2 linked regions of the Oryzias latipes genome follow. The protein of the gene in region 2 purifies or fractionates together with the protein of the main gene of each other region. This does not show direct contact. Links are inferred from orthologs where the notes say so. Each region holds a gene or a part of one and is shown on either strand. Other genes may lie near its edges.

Region 1 (10,051 bases), on a different chromosome or scaffold from region 2:
AGCCAGAGGAAGTTTGCCGATTTACATATTTTTCCCACAATAGAAAAAGAAACTTTTGTTTGAGCAATCTTCATGAAATTTCACACACGTCTACAACCACAACCAAAGTTTCCTTGACTTTTGACCTCAGGAAGAGGCTGCCATCTTGAATAAAAAATAAATAAATATATATACATCACAAAAGTGGCGTTCCTTTAGTGCTCATGCCTTTTTTCCCCCAGAACATTTGGAAAATGTAATGCATGAATTCTCTGCTCAAACTGAATGAACCAATATGAAATACAATATGAACACGTAACGTTAAAATATCGCTGGCAATGCTAATAAACTCCCAAATGCATAAAACATGCTGGAATGAATTAAAAATTTTAATAAAATATAGAAATGGCACTTGAGTTTCAAACTTAACGATCATTTAACAGCTGACCTGTAATCGTTAAATTTAGTTTGGTACTAATTTGATCAAATGCACAGATGTTAATTGTTTTATAATATATATTTATATACATCCATAACCTTTTAGTGAATAAAACTATATGTGATCACAGCCATCTATTTGAGGAAACTAGAGCGGAAAATGTAGTTAAAGTCAACAAAAAGCTTTGTGTTTCTTGTACTTTCTTAAGTCGAACTGTGTTTTAGAGCATTGATTTTCAGATTACAGTAGAGACATTTGGGCCAGCCTAAGTGAATGTATAGAACAGAGGCAAAACTTTAAGAAACATTCACAAACATAAAATCAAGCAAGCAGATAAAAGCTGATTTATTGCAATTGTATCTAAAACTGTTAAGCAAAGCAGTGAATGTATTTTAAAACATTCCTCTATCATCTTTACTGGAATTGCACACCTACCACGTTTCTTTTTTTTTAACATGCAATTCATGTTTTCTACAACACTTGAAAGGACAGAATAGACAAGCTATTTACTTTGAAAGAAAAAGCAAGCATGTTTTTTTATGCAGAAGTCATGAAATACTTCCTGGTTTAAACTCACAGTTAAATGATATGTCACAAATTCAACCAGCAAAAGCAAAAAAAACAAAAAAAAGGCAAAGTGCAAAAGCTGTAAAAAAAAAGTACAAAAAGCAAACTCTCCATATAACTTAATCTATGTGCATTCAACTTTTATTTTAAATACTGAAAAAAAGTGGAATTTAAGAATAATTATTTTAAATTCTCTACACAAAATGCTTAACTGCCAAAGTAAAAGTACTTAAAACATCCTTAATAAATACATGCAACTGGTTTTACCAACATCAGTAAAACTTTAACTTCTTAGAGAGCTGCTTCAGATTGCACTCAGTATTTTCACTTTTATAAGAAAAAAAGCAGTTAAATTTGAAATTTTAAAAAAAAATGCAGCAAGTTAATGTTACTATGACAGTTGTGTAACATGGAAATAAAAACTAGTGATTTTTTTTGCCATTTATAATTATAAAAGCATTCCAGTAAACCATATAAACATGATAAAAAAAAGCAATGTGTCACTATTGGTCATTTAAATATATAAAAGGCTTTTTATTGAGGATTAGCTGTAATCTGGACTGCCAGCGTTTAGCATGTCTATTCTGTGACAAAGTGCCCCAAAACCATACAAAACGGAAAATCAAAAGCCAGACCAAAAGAATGAAAAGTTCCTTTTTCTGGGAATAAAGAAAACTGGGATCAGAGATGAAAGAAAAGGATGAAGGGGGTAGTGTAAGCGGTTTAATAATCTGTGTTCATAAATAGAGGCCGAATATTTGGTTGCAGTTTCAGTTTTCAGAAACAAAACATTTTCTCTGAAGGTCTTTTGTTCCGTTTTGCTTTGATGAAACCCAAATAACAGGAAAAAAAGCTCTAAACCTAAACAAAAAGGTGAAGCATTTTTCAGTTACTAACTGACATTTGTCTGTCGTGTAAACCCGCCGTCTACAACGATTAAAAGTAGCTGTCTTAGTTAATTACTGGACAGGAAGGTATTTAATAAAAAAAATGTTCCGATTCGTCCGAAACATCTCCAATGACATCCAGTTTTTTCAGACTCATTTCCTGCAGGGTTTCATTTCTTTGCTTTTGCATGAGGACTCAAAATGAGTTCACCTCATTTGAAAAGCCAATGCTTTAGGTTTTAAAGTAATTTAGCTCATGGCAAACTGGTACCATGTTATGAAGTGAACTGTAAACACTGCAACTTGCAATTTTTCTCTTTATTTTATGGTCTTAAATTGATTTTGGAGGGGGGAAAAAAGAGAAATAAATTAAAGACTATAGAATGTATCTAATGTTGTAAATCAGGAAGCATGTATAAAATGGTTCCAATGTAAAAAAAAATAAAAAATAAAGTACCACTGAGGCTTTGCTTCACACAGAGGCAAAAGCGAAGCGTTTGAAAGCCAGTCGGGGGATTTGCCTTATTTGAATGAGTCCTAACTACCAGACAGGTTGAAGGATTATTTATTCATTCTTGCAGCTCCAGCTCGGCGGGGGCAGCGCAGCCTTTATGGTGGGCAGAAATCGGCAAAGTAAGGGTGCTGCAAGGCTTCCTCTGCAGAGATCCTCTGGACAGGATTACATTTCAACAGATTCTGGATAAGATCAAAGACAAAAACTTTAATGAGCGAAAAACATTCTTAGAAAAAAACCCAAAACAAATTCCAAGTATCACTACGTCAACTCAAGTGAGTGAAGTGAAGTACAGGATTTTAAACAGCGTAACATGTAAACTCCTCAAAGATCACATTAAAATGAAACCCCCTATAATAACTCAATATATAAAAAAGAGGCCCGTTTGGAGTACCTGTAGTAAATCCCGTCCTGTATTACTTAGTTTTGGAACCACGTTAACCAGTGAGGTGGTTGCTGGATACATAGGATATGGCTGGCAAGAAAACAAACAAAAAAAAAGAAAATTGTTAGCAGTTGATTCAGAAAGTAAATTGATATAAAAGTTGGATGAATTAATTTACCTTGTAATCTGGAAGTTTTGTCATTGTTGGCCACTGCTCCTCCGTTGGTGTACCCAACAATGTATCAAAAACACTTAAAGAAGAATGTTTCTCAAAGCAGATTATTATTATCATACAATGGGAATAATTGGCTTTTTACTGACAGTGCATGTAAAAATATTGAAAGAAAAAAAGAAAGGATATCTGAAGATCCTTTTTAATTGGTCGTCGACATCATTGCCTGGGAATAAAGGGCGCCCGGCGTTTGCCAGTTCTGAAACACGGCAGAATAAGCAATGAGGTTTCATCTGGTTTCTAAAAATGCATCATATGTTAGACAAAACAGGAAGTGCTAGACAGCTGATCACATCTTTTAATCCCAGGTTCAGAGCTTCTATATTTAAGCCCACGGCTCCACCATTTTCCTTTCTTTTTTTGAATCTCCAACACATGAAATGCTTTGTAGCTGGCAGCAAGGCTGAATGTAAACCATCCTACACAGCTGATACGTTGATCCTATAGATTTACATTAATTGCAGAAGACAATATCCCAACTAGAGTACAAGAAAACCTGTGTTTGATATTTATGTGCTCGATGCTGACGTCTTTTTCACCACCGCAGTATGATCATTTACTTATGCAAAACCCAATTCCAGACATTGCATACATTTACATTCAGTGGAGGACAGAGGATGTAAACAGGCATAATTCAGGAAATGCATACATATTTGGAGAGAAAAGCGTTCCTCCTTTAAGGCAAAATAAAACAAATCAATTCCGGTTGTTATTAAAGGGACAGTCAGTTTAAAATAAAAAATAACACAAAATGTTTTCTGGACACGGGCAGATTTAAATGATCCGTGTTCTAGCCGATTTGAAATAGACATCTATTATAATGCATATAGTTAAGATTTATCTCCTATTTAAATCAAGTCACAAATTACACACTAACCTGCAAAAATGCATCCAGCTGACCACATGTCAATGGAGGTAGAATAAAGTTTAGCACCAAACAGCACATCTGGAGGTCGGTACCACAAAGTCACCACCTGCAAAAATTACACTGAAGTTCAGAAGCACTGAAAAACAAGGAAAGTACTACAGACATGGTTCTGTGCGCCGCCGTGCCTCTGAGCTGGATTCATAAATGAGATTCAGTTGTAAGTACAAAACAAGCACATCTTCTACAGAACTAATTATATTTATGCAGGCATTTCCCCCCCATATTTTGTTCAAATACTGCAGACAAAAGGGCACTGTTCAGCAGAAGGACTAAATATAAAGCAACAACTGAAATCTTCTGCATTTTAAAGAGTGAGCGCTGTTTAAAAGTCGCTGTTTTTCAGCTAAAAATGTGCAAAAACCACCCTAATTGCAGATGTAAACGATGTGACTGAAACACAACTCTGTCCTTAAAGGCCATTTCACAAATAAAATAAGTTGAAAAATATAATTTCATTAACCGAAACGACTTGCTTTGCTCTCATTTCATTTTTGGTAAGACTGAATGATGCAGAAAACTAAAACCAAAACTCGAACTCAGGGGTCTGCAAACATGTACCTCTCAAAGAGCCATTAGGGTCAGTTTCCCACAGAAATGAAAGCACAGGGAGCTGCAACACTAAGGGGGGTTGGAAAAAAAATGGTTTCGCCGAAATATTGCGATAGTTCATTTGGCAATACATGTATTGATTCAAAATGCTGTCAGGATATTTATTTAATTATTTATTTTAATTATTTATGAGCGTTATCTTTCCTTTGATCTTTTGACCATTTTACACAACCTTGAATAGACTTCTGTCTGTCAAACACCCAGAATTAAGATGAGTGAGATGATGGAAACAAATTCACTTTGATGCAGACTCCTGTCTACATAGGGTCATTGTAACAGATAGTTCACAGGATAGTAGGAGTGTCCTAACGCAAATTTAATTAATTTTATGCAGAAATGGGTGGTTTTAGTCTAAGAAAAAAAAAGGTTTTTTTTGGGCGTTCACGCTCCTTTCTACCTCCTGCCCACTCGCGTTACCCGACGGTGTTAAAGGCACCACGACAATCTTAGAACATGACCGTTATTTTACTAAACCACAGAGAGCCTCAGCATAACCATTCCTGCCTGGCTATTTCTTAATAGTTAAATTATTAGTCAAATTGCTTCGAACAAAACTCCTTACTCTTCAAATAATTTTAAAAAAAAAGAAGCCAAAATATCTGCATATTCAAGTCCTACAATTTTTACCACAAGTGGTCACTTATTAGCTTCTGGTGCCATAAGATACAACCAACCTCTGCAGAGTAACACCTCACTGGAATACCAAAAGCTCGGGCCAGCCCAAAATCAGCAAGCTTCAACTCTCCATTCTGCACAAGCAGAGAAAAAAAAGCCATTATTACTATCGTTTATTTGCTTCAGACAGACTAACATTACACAAATACTCAAACTACTCATTTACTGTAGAACACAGATGCCGTAGTAAAATCAGTATCCAAATATGAGTAAACACTCACTCTGTTAATGAGGAGATTCTGAGGCTTCAGGTCTCTATGAAGGACATTTCGACTGTGACAGAAAGCTAGACCTTTCAACAGCTGGTACATGAATGACTGCAAAGAAACAGATGTGTATTTACGGTTCAGCATATATAGATTGTTACTACAGGATGTTATAACTCAAAAGAGCTGAAGATTTATCTCTAACCTTCACAGTTTCAGGATCTAGATCTCCATTGCAGCTGTCAAAATATTTCTTCAAATCCTGCATTAAATGTGTGATACACATTAGATTTGAAAGGGATCAGAGAAATGTACTTTAAGTAGTAACTCACCTGATCACAATACTCAAAGACCAGGGTTAACTTCTTGTCACTGTGCAACACATCGTGTAATCTGATGATAACAGAAAAAGCCGTGATGGTTACTGTCCTTATTTATACTACGATGTAATTCACCGTTTAATTAAAACTATAATATTGACATTGAACTGACCTGACAATGTTTTTATGCTTTAGTTCCTTCAAAAGACATATTTCCCTCAAAGCAGAACTCGGAACCCCCTGAAAAGGAATGATTTGTGTCAGTGTTACTTAGCTTGCTAAAACTACATCTGTCAACTGTGTTTACAAACCTCATCGTCATCGTCTAGTCTGACTCTTTTTAAAGCCACAATTTCGTGTGTTTCTCTGTTTTTAGCCTTGAAAACAGTCCCATAAGTACCTACAAAGAAAATTACAGTTCGATCATTTTAATTTGGTAAAGTTTCCGAATGACAAAAGAGCTAAGTAACTATTCATTTATTTCAATGTTTAAAACATTAAAGCTAAAACATAACAAATCTTGGAGCAATAACTTGTTTAAAATCCATGCAAAAAAATGTTTTCTCAGGTATATGATGGTAAGAGTATTGATTTTATAAAACAGAATATTAAAAACATAAATCGGTATGCTTGCTAGCATTAGCTAAAACTAGCTAGCGCTATTTTTTAAAGATTTAATATAAACTTACCCTCTCCTATTTTCTCAAGCTTTTCATATTTCTGCATCTTTTGGCAAATAAAACCGGCCCAAAAAAAGCCAGAAAACTAATATCGAACTAACACCCCAAAACTGGGGTGGATACAAACACAGGTTAGCTCCAACCGTTAGCCTTTATCGACACTTGCTGCTTCGCTCGCAGACAGTCCTACTGCAATTTTGTGCCTGATGGCCATCTAGAGGCTTGGAGGTGCGCTGCAGCTTTCTGACGTGCAGCAGCACTACCCCCTTTATTTATTTATTTATTTATTTATTTATTTATTTATTTATTTATTTATTTATTTATTTATTTATTTATTTTTAATGATTTGTGATTTCCCGTGACTGGTATGGTAGCATTTCTATTGCATAATTAAAAATGTATTGACTTTTACTTTTAATTATGCAACAGAAATGGACTGGATGGACCAATATTTTGTCATTTTGAATGTGCATATATTGAAACACTTAAGGTATTTACGGGGGAACAAAGTTTGAAGTCCTTAAATCTCAGTAAATGCAAAACAACACACAACCAAATAAAAAATAATGGATTTTTTACTATTGTTTTAAAGAATATTGTTTAAATTATTCGATAAAGTGAAGTTAAAATAATAACTTTTGCTCTATTAATGTAGTACTACATTAATTAAATTAATTAAAATGCTAAAAACAGCTTTTAAATTTGACTCCAATAATCTTCTTTTTGTATCAATTATTAATTTAAAAAATACCCTTCCAAATCAAAAGTCAAACTGCAAACACATCAGCTGCAAGCCTTGTGCTGATTTGTTCAGTTTATGTCACATGTGGTCAATTTTATCATCCATGTAATAAATTTGAGTAAGGATAGCAAATACATGAAGCTTTTATGCTAGTATGTAGACTTCAGCTGCAAGATTAAAAAAGAAATGACCTAATAAAATGGGCTGTTAAAGACAATAACTCAAAGTGGGTTCAATAAAATAATGAATAACTAAAATTAGAAATCGTCCAAAATAAGAAAAACTAGCAGGGCTTTGTAAATATAAGTAGAAAAGCTCATATGAGCTTTATGTCATTTATCTTAAGTGGATGGTTGTCAATTAAGAAAATTCAGAAAAAAGATAATGAAAAATCTTGTTTTCAGTCAAATCAACTTTTATTGTTTTCACAGTTATTGAAGCTTCTCACAAGGGAAAAAAAATAAATTATTGTCACGTTAGTTAAAAGTAACATGTTTACAATGCTGTAGCTTAACTAACACAGGTTGGTCTATTTATGATTTAACACAAAGAGGGATTTCTTAGGTTTCTAAAGACAAAAAGTAAACATTTACACCTCAATTACCCCAATGCATTTATTAAATCTGTTTATAGTTGATCTACATAAAGAAAAAGTTCTTCCGTTTTCATTTCTTCTCCTCAGCTCTCTGTCTGCGGATCAGATCGGAGTAAATACCTCCTTTGCTCAGCAGTTCCAGGTGTGTTCCGGCCTGAAAGAAAATTAAAAAATAGTTTGTGGATAAGATGAAAAATTGAAGCTAAAAAGAAAATTTAACAGTGCTCAGCTGATTATCACAAAGGCCATGCATGTTACTGATGAAGCAACAGCAATACAAGGTGGAATTAAAATTGGCTGAACAGTCCAGTAAACCAATGCTAGTTGGATATTTTTTAATGTCTTATTCTAATAAGTTTTAAATTACTCATAAATGTTATTTTATCTTAAATTTCACCTTTAACTAGAATAATCCTCAGGAACCTGATAAATAATAATAGTAGTTATACTTGCATTCAATGTAACAATCCAACCTCAGTCTTGGGGAAGTTGCAGCTAAAAAACTGTCTGATGTGCAAACATTTTTGATAACTTTCATCAGTCTGTTCCTCAAAAACAAACCTCCTAAACCAGGGGTGGGCAATTATTTTAACTCACGGGCCACTTTGGTTTCTAAAATTCGATAGAAGGGCTGGACCACAAGCAGATGTGTGCAGTGAGAATGATATAACATGGAATGTAGATGAAAACTTTTGGATTGAAAATTATATTCTACAACAGAATATTCTAGAGTTATTAGTTTAAAACCTTTGTTCCTATTTTCTATTTTTTATTGTGAAGCCCTTTGGTATCTTCAAGGAGTTGTAAAGTGCTGTGTGAATAAAGTTTCATTCATTTATGGCGCTTTTAATAAAATAAATAACACTATTTATGAAATAAAACAATAACCAAATAACACTCTATGATTTTCAAAGACAAAAATTCAGGAAAAATATACTGATACATAAAAAAAACATTAAACAATAAATAGTGGATCCTCTCCCGTCATAATCCTAATAAAGACTTTGAGCGCTGAGGCTCAGCAGTTTGCATAGCTGTTCTGTGTCCTGCACGTCTGTTTCTCATCCAGTAACAATGAAAAAAGCTAATGTCTCTGTCTTCTGCTGCAGCTACGCATATCTGTGTTACCTTTTCACCAGTACAGAGTTCCCTCGTTTATTGCAGGAGTTCTAAAAATAACAGTGATCGGTGAAATCCACGGAGTCTGATTACAGACGTTTATGGCATCAAAACTCCTCACTGCTAATTACACTTTTCTCACACAGACATGAACATTTTCACCCTTGTCTTTTGTTTAAATTCTCAAACTTTCATAGAAATTAGGTCCAGGATCATAGAATGAAAACAAAGATGAGATCATCAAAGATTTCTGATCTGAAGAGCTCCGCCTTTCTGTACAGGAGACTGAGGAGATTGAATGACAAGGTCTCCAGCCAATCAGGACACAGAACAGGGTGCACTGTTTAAAAAACGCAGCATGATCGCTCTAAAAAAAATGAGCTAAACCGGGAAAGATGAACTGCGACGTAGAAAGGGAAGACTGTCTTCTGTTCTGTTTGACAGAGACTTTTAGAGGGTTTCAGATTGGAGCACAGACTGCAGAAGGGGGGACTAAAATGTCAGTTCTTGATCGTGTGGCCAGATTAAAAAAACAAAACAAAAAACATGGGTCTCTGATATTGTTCAGTGGGCCGGACCAAACATTGAGGCGGGCCGGATCCAGCCCGCGGGCCGCGGTTTGCCCACCCCTGTCCTAAACTGTTGATTTCTCAGATTAAGGGCACAGTGAATAAGTGTCTGATGTCTGAATTTCAGATGTGCCCTCCAATATACTTATACCTCCAAACAAACGCTCCCAAAATATACAGTGCGACCTCTTGTGGCCCTGTCCAAGCAGAGCGTAGTGAAATACGTTTTTTTCAAATTTCCGACAACATTGAATTTGGATTTAGCCTTAATTGGCAAAGTTACTATGGCAACCATTTGCAGGATTCAAATTAGAATACATTTCCCTTCTGGTCTGATGTATTTGGATTTTGGAGTCTTTGTTTTTGTTCAGAGGAATGCAATTCTTAAAATGATCTAAAATATGTCATTCTGAGTTCTTGAGTCATAAAGATGCTGCATAGCAACAACAGCAACTTAGACGAGCCTTTGAAGTCCAGCTGCTCTGATGAACAGAAGCCCACAATAAAAGGAACCTTAATCCGAAAAGACTTACTCTAAGTCTTAGAGTCTATGCACTGCTGTAGTAGACAGAAGGCTAATTTACTTATTTGGCATAATTATCCCT
Region 2 (10,109 bases):
TGCTCGACCACTGCATCACCAACCTCGGGTTCCATTGCAAACTCTACCACCACGATTTTTCTTTCAGTTGAGCCAGCACGGCTGACCAAAAGTGCTTCTTTCTTGAAAACAATACATTGGAATGGTATTAGATCTAACTACACAAAAGAAGAAACCATCAGAGTCTGGACAGCTCTGCTCGCATTAGCACTGACTTGATTTGATCAATTGCTGCAAGCGGAAACGGGTCAAATGAATCATCAAGAAAGACTAGCGTTTGTCCACACCAGCAGCAGACAAAAACACAACTTCACTCACAGACGGGTTTTAAAAACTACCCAAAAGCTTAGAACAAAAGAGGTATAAGGCTAAATAATATAATAAAGTGACTAAACATAAACAAGCATGGGGTAAATGGATGCCTGAACTACAAGACAAACACGGGGACTTAGAAAAAGCCTAACTCATTCTAAACAAAAGAAACTGGTTCAAAACAGCATCTTTGCTTTGATAAATGTTGGGTTTCAGGTGGACAGACTGTGAAGGCCTACTGAACACCACACTTTGGGATCCTTAAGTAGTCATCATCAGTCCACAGCAATTTAAAAGATTCCTAGTTTGAAATGGAGGATAAGAACCAAAAGAATCAGTTTGTGTGGCTCTGACTCCTGCCCACACGGGTCACCGGTGCGCGTTTCTCACTTGTCCATGTCTAGTGTTCTGGTCTATGTCCAGGATTGGAGGGGACACTGGCAAGGAATGTGGTGGGAGGTGCGCTGCATGGCAAGAAGGGTGCGCCACCTTGCCTTGGCAGTCGTGGTGGACAAGTGAGTGACATCCGTTGAAGCAGCTGCGCACCAGGCAACCGAGGAAGAGAGGAGGGGAGGCAGTAATCAGGCCCCCCCTTCTTTGCTTGCCCATCTTCTAACAACAGAGTTCTCCCAACACTGGGATTAGGACATGCTGGTGACCATCTCAAATGTTGATGTCCCGCACGTCTGTTGGCGTGCAGGACAGGTCCACCTCTTCATCCACACGCTTGGCTTCCGTCACGCTGCCATGCTGCTGCGCCTGCCGCAGGCTGGACTCCAGCAGAGACTCAATCTGCTCCTGACACGACCGCAAACAGTCCTGCAAACAAACAACTGGTCAGAAAAAAACGTGCTGCCACTGCGCAACAGCAAAGACACGAGCCCTCTTCAGGGTTAGAGGTTAGACAGTGCGAGGGGTTTTCCATACCGGGTCACTGCGGATGACCTGAGACAGGAAGTTAGTCAGGTTCTGAGAGGACAAGGAGGCATCTTGGCTTTTCAAGTAGAGTCCTTGAACAGCTGCCACCACACTGCCGGCTGCCACCATTGATGGAGGACTGGCTATAAAGTTCACATCTGTAGAGGCAGAAGAACGTTCACATTTGGTTCGGGTATCTGCAAGCCGTTTTCCGTCACATCGTATGTTTGCACGTTTGTTTCTGTTCTTTCAGCATCACCATCCTATGCTGTGGGTTCGAATACCAAAGACCTGACCGGAACAGCAAGTTAACCGTGACGCAAAAACTGCTGACCACTACAGGGAGGAGGAGTTCCTCCAGTTTGATCAATGTATTTTCTAAGCTGACTCAAATCAATTTGGTTTGCAGCCACATTGTCAGGACTCTGAAAGGAAGCCGTCCATCCGTTCTACCATTTATCAGGACTTGGGTAATGGTTTGATTTGAAATATTTTTGGAATATTGTATTACTTATGAGACAGACATATATATAGAGGTCAAAGTTTCATAAGTTACATTAATAATAAACAGAAAACGACCATGCCTGATTGCCTTTAAAAACTTTTGAAAAAGCCCAGACCCCAGTTGTTAAAGCGTGGAAACTGTGAATGAAATGCGACTGATGTGTTTGTGTGAGGTCAGGTTTGACTGACTGGGGCTTGCTGACCAAAAGATGACTTCCTAAATAGCTCACTGGTACTTCCCACCGCTGTTTGACGGCATGGTGGTTTGCAACTATTAGGGCTAATTCAATCTTAACCAGTTAAATATCTATAAATGTGATTGGTGTTTTAATAAACTGCAACAACCCAGAAACCAATAGACATGTAACAAAGAGCTAGTACCTGTAGCGCAGAGAGCCACAAAGGTCTGGGCGTGTTTCCTGAGGATCTGCTTTGTCGATGCGTGGATTGTCAGCTTGGACAGGAAGTGCTCGATGAAGTCATGAGGTGTGACAGAAGCCAGATCCCATTTCAGCTTGCTGAGAACCAGCAGCTCCATTTGCTGTGGAAGGACCAGAGAAGACGCAATGCTTCATTTTGTGGTTGACAAACATTTGTTTTTCTTTATGTAATTTTCCATCAAATGCCATCAATGATAGTTTCTAAATTGACAGGGCTGACCCAGCAGTCAATATTGAATCCTTCTTATGCATAAATAGGCTGTAATGTTCTACCTAAACAAAGTGAATGACAGAACAAGACATTTTCTTTTTTTCTAGCATACATCTTTCTACTGTCTGCACATCTGTCTGACGGCCACTAGGTGTCACTGCAAATTAGCAGACGCCACCAAAGACCATTGATGAAATCAGAGGCCTTCCAGTCTCCATGGGAAAGTGCAGGCAGTCATTCAAACGCTGCAGCAGACTTCCATGCACATTTCAACCACAACGTACATCAGTAGCATGACTGCATGCTTGACATGTTGCAGCCTCGGCGCACCAGCAACCCAGACCGAGCCCTGCCTCCAGCCAACGCGGCCTTCAGGCATTCTGGTCATGTTCTCCCATTGTTACGCAACATCATGTCTGCAAGAACTTAATTACCAGCAGTTCTCCAGGTTGGACCGAGTTGTCTGTGTAGATACAGAGTTTCTCTGCAGTCAATGGTACCGTCTCCTTCATCTTAGATGCCAGAAACATGCATGTAGCTCCAAGCAGCTGGAGTCTGCTTTTCCTGGTGGGCTCCACTGATAAAAATCTGTCCAAATAGTTCATTGCCAACGGAAAAACCTCCTCCTCGCATTTCTGTTCCTCACAGACCTAAAAGAAAAAGAAAATAAAGTGTTTTAGAGGCCGACACTGGCATGGAGACATTTCTTTCTGTTCAAATGGAACAATGATTTCACTTTCTGTAAGCAGTCTGTCTTCCATCCTGCACACTATGATCCTCTCCAACTAATTTAGAAAAACTAAAGCATCTTTCATTTTTCGGCTTTTAAAATACGTGGAAAAAAATTGTTAAAACCTACAGACCAACTCTCAAGAAAAGGCTGGAAAAGCAGGTGAAAGCTGCAGCGGGAATGAGTTTACAGTCAGTTCTGACGGAGACACAAAGGTGGCGTCGACGCAACTTTCACTCCAATTTCAACTTCGTCATCTTTTCAAAAAACACTTTAAAATATTAACAAAAATCGCAGGCTGCTTATTTTAGCAGATACATGAAGCTGAAGGCGCGCCTGATCGGATGATAATGTCATTTGTCTTGTTTGGAGAACAAATTGGTTTTTATTTTTATTTTTTAGGCGAAGATTCTTCACGTGCTGCAGCCGCTGCTCGCACAGCCCGATGCCACATTTCAAAAATTAATTAAAAATATTTAACCTAAAGACTTTTGAACTGAAAGTTGATGTAAATGTTTGAAATGCTTCTGAGTATCAGATCCGACGGATCCGGTCCGTCTGCGCTTTGGATTTTCGAAGGAATCTGCGTTTTTTGGCGTGAAGTTCGTGGCCGTGGCTGCGCCTCCGGAGGCCGAACAAACTCCAGCTTTCGATCCCGCTTCAAACTTTATTCTCTTCTCGTGTCAAAGTCCGCGCTTTACCGGCCCGTTCCCCGTTATTTCTGTTAAAATGACATCATTCAAATCAGATCCCGAAGCTCCGCAAACACCGCAACAAAGATGGCGCGTAATCAGAAACTGGCACGCACCGGGCTGCATACGTGTACACCGGGAACGTTTCGCTGAAAACGTCCCGTTGGACCGAAACATCAGCTGAAATGGAAAAGAGCTGACGGGGAATGAAGTCGGCGGATGATCAGAGGCGCGCGGCCGAAGCCGAAGGGAGGCCAACCCTCACGCGAGCAGCAAGCCGCGTGAAGAAACTAAGCGGCGTGAGCGAGGCGCTCCAAACTTTGGCGTGACCTGCGGTTCCGGTCAGAACAGCTGGCAGCTTAGACGCACAGAGCTGATACCTCTAACATCCAGGTGGCCAGAATCTTCCTCATGTTGGGAGCGATGTCCTTCTGAACACACTTGAAGTAGTTGGGCGCCGGCAGGTAGTTTTCCTCCGCCTTCAGCATGGTCCGCAGGACGCGCTCGTTCAGCAGGTTGACGTCCTGGTGGGCTCTCCGGATGGAGTCCACCTCGCAGCACAGCAGCTGCTCCTCCATGGTAGCAGGACGAGAGCGGAGTCCGCCGGCGGTCCGGGCCGTGTTCCCGCGGGCAGGAGGCTGCACACACCAACTTTCAGCGCCCTTTCTTCTCGCGTGGCTTCTGCTGCCGCGTGCTGCTGCCCCTTCGGTCGCGCGAGCCCTCTGAGGGCCAGACCTCTCTGCTCTCGAAGACAAAACCCCCGATCCGTGCGCGCGTTGCGTGCGCGACCACGAACACGCGCGCACACAAAGTTGATCTGCAGAGCGCACAGTGGAGAGGTGGTGAGAAACGGTGGATGCGCGCGGTGACGTCAGCGGTTGTTAGGGCGGGGGGTATCAAAGACACATGCAGTCTGCTGGGGAGCGCGCGGAAGGGATTGTTTTATGTCCATATGTATGTGCGGGGGGAGGGCTCTGGTGGAGAGGTGGGAGGTCCGGCCCACCGGCGAACGCTTCCATCCTTTGGTCGGTAGGGGGCGGTGGCGATCCTACACCCCCCCGAACCCCCACCCCACCATATGTCTTCCTGGGATTGAATGAAACCGACAACATGAGGTTTCCACGAAAGGACAGGGACACGCCGTTTGCTCCATTCAGGAGATCCCACCAACCGTTGTGGCTGAAAGCAAACAGGGTTGGAATCCAAGCAGTCAGAGAGGAACCAGGTTCAGGGCGCGTGCACACTGCATCCCCACTTCAGACACATGAAACAGATTCAGGTCATTTCAACCAGATCAGCATCTTCTTTTAACTTCTGGAAGTTGCGAATCTCAGCTCGGTTGAAAACGTGACAGGAGCTGACTTTACCTCAAAAGATTCCTGTGAGACGTTCAGACAGACAGGAGGAGACTAGAGTCGCACCAATGGGAGGAATTGCTGTTACTAGGCAGATGTTGGTGTAACTTTCATGTAGGGAAAAGTTCATTGCTCTGAAAAAGTTGACCCTGATAACCCTCACAAAGTCCTTTCACACAAACTTCCAAGTCAACATTGCAGTTTTGTGTTTGTGGACAACTTCCTGATGCTGAGTTCACTATGGTAAAAAAAAAAAGAAGCTCTTTTTTCTCTTCAGTCTTATAAGTTGTAAATCAGGTAGAACAAGCCTCTTTCTGTCCTTTATTATACATTTAGGCACTTTAACGAAAATGTAAAAAGTACAAACAGAGCACTTTTTAATCCAGTTTCAATATGAATCAGAGCTTTTTGCATTCCTGAAATTCCACTTTGGGCCGTTTGGTTGACTACCGTAAAGCCTGAAGAGGGGGTCCATGTGCTGGAAGAGCTTAAAGTCACATCAACACATTCCCAGTCTCCTGCTTTTTAAGGACTAAACATCTGAAGTGAAAGTTGCTGTGTGACAAAAAACAATCCTCATTTACCTGTGCAGGAATAAAGAGCAGATCCCAGGATATACTGAGAAATCCTCTCAACGTTTATGTCTGTTCCTTTATTTTTAAATATTCTAAACGTTGTCTACTTTTTGAGTGTCCGGCTTTTGATGTTGTAGTTCATGCATTGTTGGTCTGAAACCGGAATCTTACCTCTGCAAAAGTTCTGATGGAATAAGGTGATGAACGTGAGCAACAGAATTTTCTGATTCAAAACATTTATTTTTAATAATTTAATGGAAAGGCTTTTTTGTGTGACCCCATTTCACAAACAAAATCCCCTTAATATCCAATTCTAATACAACTTTATATCTTTTAAATGTGCCCTCTGTTGTTACTTTTAAGACATTTTCTAAACTTTATCTGTTGCTTTTGTGTTATTTCGTAACCAGTTATGAACCGTTAACACTGCTTTCAATAGCAAAAAGCATTCTCCCTCTTTTCCCCTCATTTCCTTCACACAAACATTTCTCATTTGAGTCCTTTCAGCCCCCTCTCATGTAAAGAAAGACAGGGGCTTACTGTGGGAGACAAAGGGAGCTGGAGCATGTGACTTTTGGCATGAGCCTCTTCTATCTGCTTTATGGTAACGGCACAGACGTTTAAAGGGACAGTGGGGAGTTGGCCTAAAACCAACTGGCAGAATGCTTCCTACCCCACAGGAACACACAGGAACACATGTTGTGAGGCAGCAGTATAAAAACATAAAGGACTTTGCAATTCCCAATAGTGTTTACTTATAGAGCCAACAACTGGTGAGGCAAAATTGATCATTTGCTCATTTTTAGCAATACAAGTGTTACTGATGTAAAAAAAAAGAGTTGCTTTTTCGATATAATTATATTAAAGAATAAATAAAAATGTAACAGGATGTGATCAGAAAACAAACATGTTTTACAATGTCAGTTTTTTATAAACTTCCAGTGCAACCAACTGATCTTTAATGGTTTGATGTGTGTTTTTGTACTTTAGCATGTCGAGTATTTTATGAAGTAGATCTCCTTCATGACATCTAAACATCAGAATCTGAGGTGGTGAATCAAAACTATACAAATATGTAACCATGGACAATTTGCTGTTAAAAGCTGCACTGTGTTTTATGATTCATCTTATGGTTAACAGTTGGGGTTAACCAACAAAGACAGAGGCAGTGTCAATCCCACTTTGTGGTTTTCCTTTATGTTATGAACCTCTCAGTGTGCTTTTATGCCGTGCATTACCAGATCTGACTAACAAGTCTGAACACATGTGAATCCTGCACAGAACTTAATACCATTGACTGTTTACAGGAACTGGATTGAGTGGATTTAATGTTGCATTGAAAATGCCTTACCTAATTCAATCACCAGTTTTCTCCAAGACGGACGTTGCTTTGTTGGACCCAGACAACAGTGATTGGTCCGAGTTGTTCTGATGCTACGTATCTATGGCAACTACTGTCGCCAATCATGAGTGTGCTTGTTCAAAGTCCACACCCATCGAAAGAGGGCTCAGGAGAATCTGTCACTCAAGCGTTCAAGGTGGGGGCAGGCAGGCTCCACATGCTTTTACTGAGGCATCTTATTGATCAGTTTATAAATAAATAACTTGCGATGAAGACAAAATGTTATGAAAAACCAAGTGGACCATCAAAAACGTGTTTAAAAAGGTATCAGAGCAAGAATGGTAATTCTGATCAATAGAATGACTGAGTAACAGCTGTTCATTTCTCTATAGAAGTTTATGGGATTTTGGCTTCTTGGAGCCTGCAGGTACTTCCTAGTTGGAATGCAAGGGGGGGGGGTCACTTTGTCCGGCTCTTTATATACAGTCAATGCTTAATACTCTGCCAGATCGCAATGTCTAGCCAAGATGAGCAGGATTCATACATTTGCACCACAGTTTTCTAAGTTCCAATCCACCAACTTGAAAACAGCAATTAGTTAACAGCAATTTGAAGTAAGCAAAATATGTATCAACCAAAACACCATTTTGGTTTGCATGATATACCTTTGAGTTGCTTGGGTGAAGTCTTATCTCTGTTGTAGACTTTAATGACAGAAAACAATAGTATTTCATTGTACAGTGGTCCCTCAGTTCACCTTTCACAGTCTTGCTGCGAGTGTCTTACTGCCACTTATAAATCACCTGCAGACCCTTACTAACAATTACAGTGTGGCGTAATGTACTGCATTACAACATCACCCAGATGTAATAACTGCTTACTCTATGGTCACAAATACTTCATGATAATGGTACATTCCATTTTCATAACATCCCTCAAGGTGGCCACATGAGTCTCAAGGGAACTTCAAGACAGTCTTTTTAAAATGAGGAGTGTTGGGTCCGGACAAGCCAAAAACCAGCGCCATGTGACTAAGGCACAAGCCATGTAAAGTCTACAGTCCTTTAGTAAAATGAAAATGCTTCATTTTGAAAAACTTTTGTTGGATTGAATTATGGATGAGGTCATTCTAAGACTTAATGAAAAAATGCCAAAGCTGCTTGCAAGCATGCTTTGATTCCTTGTTGAGTTAAACTAGATCAGGTTCTGGTGGTGAGAAGCAAGACAACTGTTGCATTACTTTTTAGCAAGGCCTTGTCTTATGTCATAAGCTAAAGTGAAGAACTCCTAAAAGTCTCCACCAGCTTCTCATCAAAACCTTTTATTGTTGACATTGTTCAATTATATTTTGGCATTCAATTTGACTACCCTGCCATTTAAACTTTGTGACCAAACACAAGTTCTTAGCTGTTTCAAGACCAACAAAGTAAAGATTAGTTGCAAGAACTTCATTTGGGGGGTGGGGGGGGGGTGGGGGGTCTCCATTGCAGGAGCCATTGCTCCAGCTGATGTTAGTGCACACAAAACGATGCTGGGCTTTTCCAAAATTTCCCTTTATTGAAGGACTCCTGATGGAGGCAGACTTTTAGTTGTTGTCAACCACGACTTTGTAAACACTGTGGTCCCCCAGTCTGCTTATGCTTTAAGAAAAAAGTTAGTACATTGGTTTGCGTCACTATTAGATTCATGTGTGTCGTTTGATTGTATATCTTTCAGAAGAAATGCTTTCATGGACTTTAAGAGTTTCTTTTCAGGTTAGTTAAGTTCTGAAACACCATCTCAGTGCGATGTAGACACATCTTTGAGCAAACATCCTTTTAATACCTGCAAACACAAGCGTTGACCAATACTTTTGTTTGTGGGTGTGTGTGAATTATCTTAATGACTCGTCCTATTATCCACCTGTGCACATTTCCCTTTCTCGTTTATTTGCTGGGAAATCTCCTGGAACATAACAGTCAGTTTTACAAACTATAACTAAAAGGAGGTTGTGTGTGTCTGCAGGAGTGTTGAAGTGGTGACATTTGTCTTCACCCACATTCTACATCCAGCTTTGAAGTCCTAGTGCCTCTTCATATTCTAAATATGACCTCCAACAGCACATGCAGTGTGTGAGGGCTTCCTTCACTCACTGAAAGGGAGAAGGCAGAGAAGAAGGGGCTTTCCCCTGTGAATGAAGCTCCTTTCTCAGCTGAGGGCAGGTCCACAATGACCTCGCAAAGATGGATAGGGAGATTGTCCTGTGAAGTGATCCACGAACAGTGATAGGTGGGGGTCGATTTGTGTGTGTGTGTGTGTCCTGCACAAAAAGTGACCTAACAGCACCTCTGTTCTGGCAAGATGGGTGGGTGCTCAGAGGCCATGTAGGGCCAAGGGCAAGGATAAGAGGGAAAACAACCCCAACACAATGGGTCAGTAGGAGTTTGAGAAAAGGGAGTCGGGGGTGGCTGGAATGCATGAATCCCATATCTCAAACACACATACACTCAACCCAAATCTACAGGGTGCTCCTTTGACAACTATGTGTGAATGAGTCTCATGTCAGCTACTAACCAGGCCACAACTGCTGCACATTTGCATGTAGGTCTGTTGCATCCTATAAGACATCTTAGAGGTACAATGGCAATTTTTACACCAAAAATTAATCATTTTTAACAATCCCTAATTACAACAATTTCTCATCTCAACGTCACATTATGCCATGGTGGCAGAGATTGGATCCACTGTGTTTCATTCACGTCATACGCTCCTTTGATGGAGGAGAAGAACTGGTTAAAATGCATGAAAGTCACTTTTAAGCTAATGCCTTTATACATAAAACATGTCATTTTAAATCGCTTAACTAAACCTGTTTTCTTTCCCACAAATATTGGATAACTGCAAGTAACCTTCCTCTACTCCTACAGCTTCTCCCTATCCTTACATTCATTATACTGTCTTCAAATCTGGACATTGCTGCCACTCAATGACGCCACCAATATTCACCAGGTCATCCAAATTAGCACATAGCTGCCAGTGCTTGGTAAATACACAACAAGATTGGTCTTAGAA

What was found.
Region 1: the proteins of ccnd1 (region 2) and cdk5 purify together in Homo sapiens (co-immunoprecipitation; 4 studies listed by BioGRID and IntAct, counting the BioPlex papers as one, with this or other methods). This does not show direct contact. The link is inferred for Oryzias latipes from reciprocal best matches to the Homo sapiens genes CCND1 and CDK5.

Annotation. Positions count from the first base shown.
Region 1 is NC_019875.2:27,780,394-27,790,444, forward strand, and holds cdk5 (cyclin-dependent-like kinase 5), read right to left. Parts: upstream 6,632-10,051; 5' UTR 6,468-6,631; coding exon 6,431-6,467; intron 6,142-6,430; coding exon 6,053-6,141; intron 5,982-6,052; coding exon 5,914-5,981; intron 5,815-5,913; coding exon 5,754-5,814; intron 5,684-5,753; coding exon 5,627-5,683; intron 5,533-5,626; coding exon 5,437-5,532; intron 5,290-5,436; coding exon 5,215-5,289; intron 3,978-5,214; coding exon 3,881-3,977; intron 3,203-3,880; coding exon 3,133-3,202; intron 3,011-3,132; coding exon 2,950-3,010; intron 2,862-2,949; coding exon 2,781-2,861; intron 2,569-2,780; coding exon 2,482-2,568; 3' UTR 735-2,481; downstream 1-734. Other genes in the region: abcb8 (ATP-binding cassette sub-family B member 8, mitochondrial), read right to left, coding at 7,829-7,912. UniProt on the Homo sapiens protein: Proline-directed serine/threonine-protein kinase essential for neuronal cell cycle arrest and differentiation and may be involved in apoptotic cell death in neuronal diseases by triggering abortive cell cycle re-entry. Interacts with D1 and D3-type G1 cyclins.
Region 2 is NC_019861.2:4,928,094-4,938,202, forward strand, and holds the start of ccnd1 (G1/S-specific cyclin-D1), read right to left. Parts: upstream 4,678-10,109; 5' UTR 4,365-4,677; coding exon 4,167-4,364; intron 3,015-4,166; coding exon 2,799-3,014; intron 2,255-2,798; coding exon 2,095-2,254; intron 1,368-2,094; coding exon 1,219-1,367; intron 1,111-1,218; coding exon 955-1,110; 3' UTR 1-954. UniProt on the Homo sapiens protein: Regulatory component of the cyclin D1-CDK4 (DC) complex that phosphorylates and inhibits members of the retinoblastoma (RB) protein family including RB1 and regulates the cell-cycle during G(1)/S transition.